Coturnix japonica: one gene and its partner. The protein of the gene in region 1 purifies or fractionates together with the protein of each later gene. This does not show direct contact. Links are inferred from orthologs where the notes say so. Each region holds a gene or a part of one and is shown on either strand. Other genes may lie near its edges.

What was found.
Region 2: the proteins of NCKIPSD (region 1) and GEMIN2 purify together in Homo sapiens (co-immunoprecipitation; 3 studies listed by BioGRID and IntAct, counting the BioPlex papers as one, with this or other methods). This does not show direct contact. The link is inferred for Coturnix japonica from reciprocal best matches to the Homo sapiens genes NCKIPSD and GEMIN2.

Annotation. Positions count from the first base shown.
Region 1 is NC_029527.1:6,654,108-6,659,690, reverse strand, and holds the start of NCKIPSD (NCK-interacting protein with SH3 domain), read right to left. Parts: upstream 3,298-5,583; 5' UTR 3,227-3,297; coding exon 3,056-3,226; intron 1,874-3,055; exon of another isoform or gene 1,859-1,873; coding exon of another isoform or gene 1,838-1,858; intron 1-1,837. UniProt on the Homo sapiens protein: Has an important role in stress fiber formation induced by active diaphanous protein homolog 1 (DRF1). Induces microspike formation, in vivo. In vitro, stimulates N-WASP-induced ARP2/3 complex activation in the absence of CDC42.
Region 2 is NC_029520.1:34,101,073-34,106,898, reverse strand, and holds the start of GEMIN2 (gem-associated protein 2), read right to left. Parts: upstream 3,377-5,826; 5' UTR 3,362-3,376; coding exon 3,123-3,361; intron 2,880-3,122; coding exon 2,795-2,879; intron 2,014-2,794; coding exon 1,924-2,013; intron 762-1,923; coding exon 702-761; intron 543-701; coding exon 432-542; intron 1-431. UniProt on the Homo sapiens protein: The SMN complex catalyzes the assembly of small nuclear ribonucleoproteins (snRNPs), the building blocks of the spliceosome, and thereby plays an important role in the splicing of cellular pre-mRNAs.

The DNA of each region.
Region 1 (5,583 bases):
CCCAGGAGCTTCAGCTGAGCAGCCTGTGCAGGAAGAAGGAAGGCACAGCATGCAGGACCCCATCCAGCTACAACAAAAGGCAACAACCCAGGAGCAGGTTGATGTGCTCATGGCTACTTGCTGCACACCAGAGGCCATGCTCCCTTCACTCCCCAGTGAGGCCCTGGGCCTCAAGTGGGAGTCACTCCATAGAACTAAACCATCTTCTGTGTGAAGCCAGGAGACATGCTGGCACTGCTCTGCAGCAGGGCAGGGACCAATGTGCTCCTTGCACCTCCAGCATCCCATTTAATCACCTCCACCAGGCCTCGTGGCACAGCTGTGTGATCCTCAGCACACGGCATGACTTGAAAGCAGCTCCTTCCCTTCAGATGTGTGCACAAGATGCAACAAAGCAATCTCAACATACAGGCTCAGCAACAGAGCAGGCTGCAGCTCCAGCTTGCTATCTCTTAACCCACCTGCACACAGAGCTCTGCCAGAAGCCATGGCTTATAACGTTTTGGCTGTAGCTTTGACCACAAAGGGCATCAGCATCTGATAAGCCTAATTTTCTTATAGACTATCTAATGCTACAGTTGCACATGAAGGCTGCTGGCTCTTCTCTCCTTATGAAATACTCTCCCTGCTGGAATTTATCATCTTTCCAAGGCCTGGACTGGCAGCTCACGTGCTGCATGTGTAATCTTGAATGGGAATGACAAAGTTTAAACCCCTTCACAAGGGAGTATAGCCCTTAAAAATGCTGCTTATTTTTACATACATCTGAGGCATATAAGTAAAGGAAGAAAAAGAGGGGGTTGTTTCTGTTGCACAGAGATCTCTTAATGACCTTACCAGAGGGATTCAGCTGTTTTCAATGTTTCAGCTACTGAGAGACATAAATACCCGTTTATATGGGATTTGGCTTTCCCCACAGGAATTAATATGTCCCAGACCTAGCAGGGGATCCTCTTAGGTCAACCAACGACTATGATACTGTCTGCTCCCATCAAAGCCTTTCCTGGTGTGCAGCCTGCACCAAGCATAGAGGTTACTCTTCTTCTACAACAGCACTTAATAGTTTTTAACCAAAGTATCTTGAGTGAGAAGGACACATCCCCATGACCCCCAGAAGATACGTGACCAAGTAAAAACAGATGCTAAAGACCATTAGTATATTTCTACTTTAATCATTAAGAACTGTGGAAGAAGGCACAACTTCTGGCCAAGACGTCCAATATTTAGCTGCAGTAATTAGAAATGGTTAATTCCCCTGACTGTCATTTAATCTCAAGAATGAAACTTCATTTGGAAGCACTAGCAGCTCTGCTAGGATAGCACGTCTTATTGTGACAGCCCAGAGAATAAGGCCTCATTCTTTCAGCTCCTTACATGCACTGAGAAGCACAGCCTCAGCTGCAAAGCACTACCAGCTGCTTATTCTCCAAAATAAAACTTTATTTTTAGTCTAAGTGCTTATTCAGGATCTGTGCAAGCACTCTGATTAAGCTCTCACGCCCATTACAAGCTGTGGCAGATCTGGAATTGATGACACATGGCGATTGTGGCTTCCCAGCAGTGCAGGAGATGGTCAGTGCCACAGCCCTCTGCTCACCTTCTAATCCAACTCATATCAACACCAGCTCCAGGACGTGCTGCTGAACCAACTTGTTTGCTGTCCTGCTAGAAAAGCAGCCACATTTGCCCATAGCATGTGTCAATACTACAAAATGCATCAGAATGAAGGGGTTTCCTGCAAGCAAAGGGTGCTCACAGTTCACTCCTTCCCAAAGCCCCCCCTACTCTTCAGCTGAGGAATGAAACACCATCCCTGTGTCTATCCAACCAGGATTACCTGTGCTGTGCCTCTGTGCATTTGCTTATGCTGTAGGAGAACTCTAAGTTGTTGCTAGGCTGCGTGAAGCAGTCTTATTTTTATCACATGCCTGTTTGTTCCTGTGGAAAAAAAAAAGATAGAAAGAAAAAAGAGCAACCTGAGGCATCCTTAAAGTGCTCGCTGTGCTCTCAGCTACGTCCACGTCCTCACCAGAACAGCTCAGAGCTACCATTCCCCTCTTCAGCAAGCAAGGTTAACACCTTTGCTGAAACGGGGAGCATAGCCTGAGCCAGCACGGCCTGAAGGCAGGAAAACCTGCAAATCAGAAGGCAGCTGATGCTCCCAGCAGTGGGTGGCACCAGGAAAGCAGCCCTGTGCTCTCCCCGAGCATCACTGCAAGGGCTCAGAGCTGCTGCTGCCACTCACCTGGAACCTGACGCACTGCTGACAGCCCTGCCTCGCTTTACAATGGTGACTCCTGTTGGCCACTCGCTCTCCTTGCTAATCAGGAGCTTCGTTTTCCCTGTCGTGATTGGGGTGGAACTATTTGCCTTGCACAGGACCGTTACTAATTGGTAACGGTGCTTTTTTAAAGCTGAGGCTGGTCAGGAGGCTGACACACAGTGAATGGCCATGGCTCAGCTCAGCCAGAGGATGCTCTCACCCAGACAGGGCCCCACTGCCATGCAGGTTGGCTTCAGCTCATTAGAATCACACAGATGGGGCACTAACACAGCTGCAGGGCAGCGTTTTGAGTCCTGCTGCCTCATGCACCACTAGGAGAGCTCTGGCTCCAGAAACTTCACCGCCAAATGAAGATGAGAGGCTGCAGGAAAGGCTCATCTGCTTCCTGCCACCAGCTCCACAAGTACTGGGGAAGCTGCAGCTGAACTGAACGTCACAGGGTCACGAGCAGCTCTACCTCGGGGTCAGTGGGCAACCAACAGACCATCAGGGTCACCCAGAACAGATGGCGAGCGACCTCCGAGCACTTGGGGGGGCTACAGCAGAACATAACATGAATAACAAACATAAGTTCAAAGCAAGGTTTGGAAAGCACGAGCACGGCGGGGCGGTGTGGGAGGGCTGCTCCAGAGAGCTGCAGGGAGAAGGCTGCTATTAGTATGGTGAACACGGCATGTCACACCGATGGGAAATGGAATGGGGGCTGCAGGAGGGATAGCAGCACCCACACGGTCCTCCCTCCCTCCCCCCACCCCCGCCGCCCCCTCCCACCTGCAGCCGCTGTAGGTACGAGGCCGGCGCGTATCCCGTCTCCCCGGAGCCGGCCCTGGTGACGAGCCACCAATGCTGGTTGCTGCGCTCCAGCAGCAGGAAGGTCTCCCCGGCGGTGAACGGCAGCGAGTTGGGCTCAGCCGATCGGAAGCTGTACAGGGCCCGGTACATGGCTCCCACCGCTCCGCTCCGAGCAGCCGGACCGAGCCCCCGTGCGTCACCGCGGCGACACGCCCCTCCCCACGCCCACCAGCGGGACCACCCCTCGACGTGTCCCTGTTTGCAGGGCACCCTGGTGGTGCGGAGGGGAAGTGCTGCTGTTGGGGCTGAGCTCAGGGTGATCCTGCTCAGCAGAGGGCAGCAATGCCCCGCACATGGCAGCAATGCCCCGCACATACATGGTAGCAATGCCTCGCCGTGCTCTGCTCCTTCTTGGCAGCCACAAGTGTCCTATTGCGGGGCTGAAGAGTGAGCCATGCTCTGCTCTGAGGTTGGGGGGTTATTGAAGCAGCACCTCGCCTATAGGGCAGGGCTGTGATCGCATAGGACGTACATCCCTGTCCCCGCTGTGCTGCAGGAGCTGGTGCCAGGGGTGGGAATGGGCTGGTGCCAGCGCAGGGAACAGAATGAATGGGGAGAGATCGGGGCTTGGAACAGAACTGGGGCTGTGTTTCCGCAGAGATTAATTCGTGTCCCAGGGTGAGGTTTCCTCGCTCTGTACAACGTCAGATGTGTTTTCTGAGTGTGTCCTGCAGGGCTCCGTGTCCCGCATGGCACTGCCACCATCATGCAGAGCACAGAGCACTGTGTGTTGGGCGCAGGATGGAGCTGTCAGCACACAGACCCTGTGCCACAAAGCCAAGGGGCTGTAGGGAGTGAGTTAAGGTGGCCAGGTCTACTTCTGCCCCAGGTAGGAATGAAATAACCTACATGGTATGAGCAGCTGGAGCAGGAGTGGGGTGATGGTGATGGTGATGGTGGCCAAACCGCAGTGCAGAGGGTGAGGATGAGCCCCTGTGCTGTGTGGGGGGCAATGAGCGCTCAGAGCTCACCAGGAGCAGCTGCTGATTAGGAGCTGGTTGTTAATTGCAAGCTGCAGGTAATTTATCTTGGCCTGGGTGGGGAAACTGCGTCATATGTGGGTGACTTCTGAAGGCGAACTTCAGACCTCAGATAACGGTGCCTCCATCCATTGCCCCCAAAACCCAACACCACAGCCCCACGCTTCAGGGTTGGAAGGCAACGAGCCCATTTCCCTGCTGGGTGTGCTGCGTCTCTGCACATCCAGCCCCCATGGAGACCATCACCATCTCTTGGAGCCCTCGTGGTGTGGGGCTGCAGTGGGGCCACTCGGTGCGATGGCAGCGATAGGAAGCGTTACACAATAGTGCTCATATGATCGAGGCACAGCGGTGCCAGCGCTGTGTACACTTATATAATCCCACACTGCCCGCTCGTCAACAGGTTGCAAAACAGCACTGCGATCGATCCTGCTACTTTTAGGCGTGCAAATATTATTGTGCAGTACAGAGCTCTCTCGAGGCAAAAAGTCAGAGGGGCTCCGGAACTGAGCAGTAGGCAAGGCCACAGCGTGGGTGTAGGGGTGCAGCATGGTGCCTCTGTGCTATCCCAATATCCCAGCATCATTGCACACCCTGATCCAGGGTGGTACGGCCTTCAGCTCCCTCAGCAGTGGGTTGAGGCAGCAGAGCTGAGCTGCAGGCTGGGCTCAGCCTAGTGCAAGGCGTGCATGGTGCCTATGGACGGCTTGGCCCAGGCCCAGGGCCCCTCCTTTGGAGCAAGGAAGGAACATCCAGCTGCTGTCAACAGCTGCAGTTCCTAGAAACGGCCCAGACAGAAGGGTGGGGGGGAACCTCACGGCCAGCTCTGCGTGGAAGAACAACAGCCCCGTGGAGCTGTGCCCAAGGAGGGGAAGCGGCTGTGGGATGAGGCCTATGGGGATCTGGTGGGGGGCACGGCTGGGGGCAGCACACAGCGGGTGCTTGGCGTGCTGTGTGACACGGGCTGTGCATGCCATGAGCTGGGGAGGCCACGGGCACACCCTCATTTCCATACAATTCAGGGAAGGAGCTCCATCCCCTCGCTTTGTCACCACTGGTCACGTAAACTGCAGCCCAGCTCTGTTAGAAACCACGTCTGGGTGCTGCAGGGAGTCCCACAGCCCCGTGCTCAGAGTCCCACAGCAGCCCCCACTTCACGTAACCTCCTTTCTGCGAACACAAGGAACTGCTCCGAGGAACCCAACACAATCCTTCCAACTGCATGGAAGGAAAACAGCCCCGCTCTTGAACTTTGTAGGGTAATATTTCATTGGGAGGGACACGCTGTCCCGGCTGCCCCCACATTAACCCTTGAGGACGTCCAAGGGCTTAAATCAACACGTGGGTGCAGGAGGCGCCTTCCAACAGCCTGACCTTGGTCCTGTAAAGCGACTGCAACACAAAAAGGCAGCGCTGTCCCTGCTGTCCCAGCTTGCTTAAGCAGAAGAACCCATAGAGCAGAAGGAA
Region 2 (5,826 bases), on another chromosome or scaffold:
TGAAAAAAGTCAAGTTGGAAAATGCAGAAACATCACAAACACCTTTTTTTTCTAAGTTAGAACTTACTAACATTTAATGTTAGTATTTGTAATTGGTAATTATTTTGAATTCTGTTACAGAATAGCATGTACAAAAACAGGGAGCAACTTTACAAAACACTAAACCAGACTATGGATAAAACTTCAGCTGGCAGCGAATTAGCGTGTTTTAGCTGGGAACAGATGAGGGAACTCCCCGAACTTTTTGACTGAACTAATAGATTTGTTCTCTGCTTCACTCAATTTCAACTTAAAAGGGAAGAGAAATGGGTCTTACTGGGCTCATCAGCCAGCTTGCTTTATATTTAGCACAACGTGATAATAAACAGTAGCGTTGTTTCTGGTAGTTATTTGTGAAAATAACAGTTGAAAATGAGTCCTCTTATACTCACCTTTATGTAATCAATTCCTAGATTTTCATGGTCAGATTCTGCATCTATTTCTGAATATACTCTTTCACCCAGGCAGAACTTCTTCCAACCTTCTTCATCCTCTAATTTGGGCTAAATTAAACAAAAATAATTGAAACCAGTGAAATATAGCTATCTTGAAGACACCAAAGAACAGACATGATAATACCAGTTGTTGAATTACACTGTAAAACAAAATTAACCACAAATGTAATGACTAGAAAAAACAGAACTGTTAAGAATTCTACTTACCATGTTAACATTGCTGTCCAAATCCTGTGACCGCCAGTGATTTCTGTGCTTGTTCAGGCTCTGAATAATTAAAGCCAAATCAGTTTTAACTTTACAGTTATTGGATCCTAGCCATAATCTTATCTTCACTTAAAAAAGTATGTTTTGAAATCAGTAAAGGCATTACTGAGCACATATTCATCAAGCCTCTTAGTATAAATATAACTGTTTCTTATACTGGGTTTTTGGAAATAATATTAAAGTCAAAGGAATTGTAAAGTCTACTGCATGACGTTTTAAGTAGTAAGTTTTACTAGTCTTAAAATCTTCATATACACCCTGTTTGAACAGTGTATAGAGAGAGACTGCTCAGTTCTTCAATTCTTTTCTGTCAAAGCAAGATACAAATGTGGTAGGAAAGTCTGTGCTAACACTACCTCCGCACTGCAAATCCATTTTAGCAGATCGGTATTTCTGAACATAATGGCTCCCACTAGTGCCCATAGGACTCTAAATGGACAGTGTTTTACATATATGAAGCTCATGGTGAGGTTGGAATCTACTTGTTCTATAGTTCTACAGAACAACGTAGAACACTGTTGATTTTAGTGTCACTGTGTAACATCACAGTGATTTCTGTCCTTCATGGAGTGCTATGTATCATTCAGTGTAAATACTGCCAGATATTTTTGCTTTAACAGGACCACAGAATGGCCTGGGTTGGAAGGGACCTCAAGGATCATGAATCTCCAATCATGAATCTGATCAAAATGTCATGAATCTCCCTGCCACGGGCAGTGCCACCAACCTCCACATTTAATAATAGACCAGGCTGCCCAGGGCCCCATCCAGCCTGGCCTTGAACACCTCCAGGGATGGGGCATCCACAACCACTCTGGGCAGCCTGTTCTAGCACTCACCACTCTTATAGTAAAGAACTTCCCCCTCACATCCAACCTAAATCTTCCCTCTAACTTAAAACCATTTCCCCTTGTCCTGCCATTATCTACCTTTTCAAAGAGTTGACTCTCAGGAATGAGTTTCATCAGAAGTTTAAAAGCCTCACAGTATATTCACATTTTATTTTTCTATTTTTATTAAGAAATTAAAGCAGTTGACTAGCAACATCTGATCAAAATGTCATGGCTTTATGGCAGGAAAGATAGAAGGTTGTCCCCCCTAAAGCACAGATGTGCAAGTTTAAAGCATCCCTCCAGTCTCCATCACACACAGAATTTTCTACCTGACGAACAGATGAGAAATTGGCCACTTGCTGCTGCTGCCACTTGAGTGTTGGAGAGTATCCTTCCGGAGCAGGCTGACAGCCAGAAATCTAAGAAAACACTGGCAATAATTATAATGTATAAAAAGCTTTATAAAAATAATCCTTAAAGAACAAGAGAAGTAGTAAACAACAACGACAGACTGCCAGCAGATAAAAATACAAGTACTCGCTTTAAGAAAGGCAATTTCCTGACAACTGATTTAACAGTTAGTCTGGACAAAATTCATCCTGCTTGATGGTGCATGTATGCAAAGAAGGAAAATTAAACACACAGAATGTGCTGTTGAAGAATCATTTAAGGTCATGTTTTTAGCACCTATTCTGCTTTAACTTCCCTGTGAATAAAAAGGAGAGTGCTCCTTTTTATTAACAGAGGGGAAATCCCAATAAGAAATTCCATCAACAAGTGAAGAAATGGTGCTAACATTTCATCTTACGTTAGCTGTACTTACTGCTCTTACTGCCTTACATACATCTATATATGATCTTCAGGGTCTTTGAATCTAGATACAGATATTGCTTTCTTCTAAAGCTCACACATGCTTTAAGATAGACTTGTAGAATTTGGCTCAGCATTTGATTCCTTCAGGCAAAAAGAAGTCTGCTGTGTGTCAGTTAGTAGGGCTATGGCTGATTTACACTGATCAGCTACAAAGACTCCTTATTGCCCAGAAACTCAACAGGTATTTCTTCGAACCCTAAAGTTTTATTTATTTCATTAGGAGCTTTAAGATCCAGCAAAGCTGCTGTTTCAGTTATGCTTATGACCTCCCTATCTTTCCTGCTGCTTGTTTCTTATAGCAAAAGGAATAGAGCAGCCCAAACTTACTGCAATATTTACTGTCTGCTTCTTTCTCAGTTTCTTGGGGTCTATTTGTGCCACGACCACATCTGGGCATCGCGCTGCTTCGATCCTACAAAATAAAACCAAACCACTGTATTGCAATGGGCAGTTATAGGACGAATGCCTCTGATATACGGCACCTGCAGAAATCTTCACTTATGCAAAAACCAACTGACTCCACGGGCAATTGTTACAGAAGGTCTGACTTCAGAATTAACTCTTTATAAACAACTGCACTTATGTTTGCATGCTCCTAAACTGCCTTGAAGTGAGGCCCGACCGGCCCGCCGCCAACCCCCGTCCCTCCACTCACTGGACGCGCCTCAGGTACTCCTGCGGCGTGCGGGGCGGCACGCTGGGGTCGAAGTCGTCGGGCAGGTCGCAGTCCTCCACGGGCAGCAGCCGCGGCATCAGCTCCTCCACGGCCGCCTCCATCGCCCCGCCGACACGGCCGACCCGCCTCTCCCCGCCGGCCGCCGGCCCGGCTGCTCTCGCGAGAGACGTTCCTCGCGCAGGCGGAGCGCCGCCGCCGTGCCCGGGCGTTACGGCCATTGCGGGGCTGTGCACTGTGCCGTCCTGCCGGGGAACCGGCCACAGCGATAACCCCGTTACTGAGCTGGACGGCACCTCTGATAACCACATTTAGGCCCCGCGTCATTACCTACCTTAGCTTTCGCAAGTAGCTCTTCACAACTCACCCATACTGTCTATTCCGCCCGTGGAAGGGCAGTAATAATTCTTATCCCTTCCTTGTCACGTCTAGAGACCTACAGTGCAAATTAATTGCCTAAAAGGTCACTGCTGTAAATCCAGGTGTAGTCCTGGAAGCGTTTGGCTGAGGTTTCATTTTGTTTCTGGATGGGTTTATCCCAAATCAAAGCAGCAGTAGCACTGAGGTGGGTTACTTCTCAGGTAAAACACAGAGGGACAATGCTGTACTTACTGAAATAGTGTAAATTGTCCCTTATTAAACTCCTGTGTATTGTTGTTTCTTAGTACAGCATGTCATCAGTGTGCTAAATGCAGCCCATACAGCAGAACAGCCTCTTACATTGACCTCGGTTTTGTCCTTTATTTTCCCATAAGACTGTAGGTTAGCAGTTCCAAACAAACATCAGCCTTAACTCCTCCTCTCCGCTGACCTTTTGTTTGCTTTAAGGTGTTTCTAAATCCACTTACGTGTAACAGGGAGCCCGGATTTCACATCCTGCTTGAGTGCAACAGCTGCAGTCATTGCTGGACATAAGTCCAGCGAGCCCAAAGCCACAGCAATGGCCCCGCTGACCAACAGTCCAAGCAAAAACAACGGTGAGTAAAACTGAGGAGTCCTCTTCTAAAGCTTTGGTCATATTCTGAAGTTATATTTTTCTATCTGTCACGGAGTCAAGGTCTTTGAACGGAAAGAGATGCCAGAAATACAAATGTTTGGGTTTGGTTTGTTTTTTAATATATTTTCTGTACATATTATTTGCTGGAACTTCTGATTGATACCATTTAATCCAAGTAACTTTGCAAAACGATTGCAGGCAATCTAACAACAAAACTATCACGGATTTTAGCAGCGATGTCGATGCAACAGCTGGTCAATGGAATTCAGTGGAAGAAGAGGAATAAGCACCTGGAGCAGAGTATCATAGCTGTTTCTCAGCTGCGTAGCCATTATTTTCCACATAAAAGGTGAGCTGCTACCTGCGGCCATGCACTGCTGCCTAAGAACATCTGACACGTCGACAGTGTTGCTGTTATTGCCTCTCTTTGCTTCTCTTGGTTCTTATGTAATGGCATTTAACTGTGCTAACAACTCATGAGAAATACCATACATGCCATGTCCTCGGCACCATCCAGCTGGATACTCCCACAGCTGGCATTGGGAATCAAGGGCAGTGAGTATTAAAACCCTCTCTTCCAGATGTGCTTTTGTTTGGCTACTCATGTTTGTAGACTAAAGAGAGCCGGCAAACAATCCTGTGGATAGTCATGGTATAGAACCCAGAAAAGCAACAACAACAAAGACAAAAACTGGATTGTACATTCAGTGCTACCTAAAACTTTCTCTGAAGATATTAAATACATATGTGTTATACCTTATTTCTAAATGTGAGATAAAACAAGCTGAAAGTCACCACAAATATTATATTAACCTTTTTCCCCCCTATCCCTCTACCCCCCCTCCAGGAAGCCTGAGAAAACACGTAAACACCAGGAGGCGAAGCTCCCTCTAGTGGCTGCAGTCCGTCATTTCCCAACCACTGCTGGAGGAAGATCGAGCTTTATAGCAGAAAGCTCAAAGTCGAAAGGGAAAAAGCAGACGAGCAAACGCGAGCCCCTGCGGCCGGTAAGTCGGCCGGTAAGGCAGAGAGCGGCTGCACGGGCCGTCTCACGCCGGGTCCATCGCTGCCCGCTGCTAAGGGGACGGTCGGCCCGAGCGCGGCGCGTCCCGGCCCGGTCGCAGCGGGGAGAGGCGTGAAGCGGCGGCGCTCAGCCCGCCCCCAGCCCCGGCCCGCCGCTCTGTGCCCCTTGACGTGGCGGGGACTCTCCCATCAGCCATGTTGGCTGCGTCGGCAGCGCTGGGGCGGCTGCGTGCGGCGCGGGGAGAGACAGAGCGAGGCGGGCGGCGGCCGGGACGCGGGGTGAGCGGAGCCGGGGGAGCGGCGGTGCGATCGCGGGGTTCTCCGTGCGGGGCTGCAGGCGCTCAGCCAAGGGAGCGCGGGCGGGGGCTGCCTGTCTCCCTTCAGCCACTCTCGGCGGAGGAGAGCCGGAGGACTCCCCAGGGCCGAGAGCGACTTGTCAGCGCTCCCCACGGCCCGCCGGGGAGCGCCCATCTCCCACTCGGAGCTCCACGGCCTTGGCGCCGCCACCGCTCCGCTCTAAAGGGCGGCTCGGCCCCGTTGGGGCGGGGGAGGATACAGCGGGACCCTGCGGTACGCTCGGAGCTGTGCGAGCGCTGTGTTAATGAGGCCCTGGTGTGTGGGGGTTTGTTTCCATATTCGTTTATTTATTTTTACACTTAGGTGTGT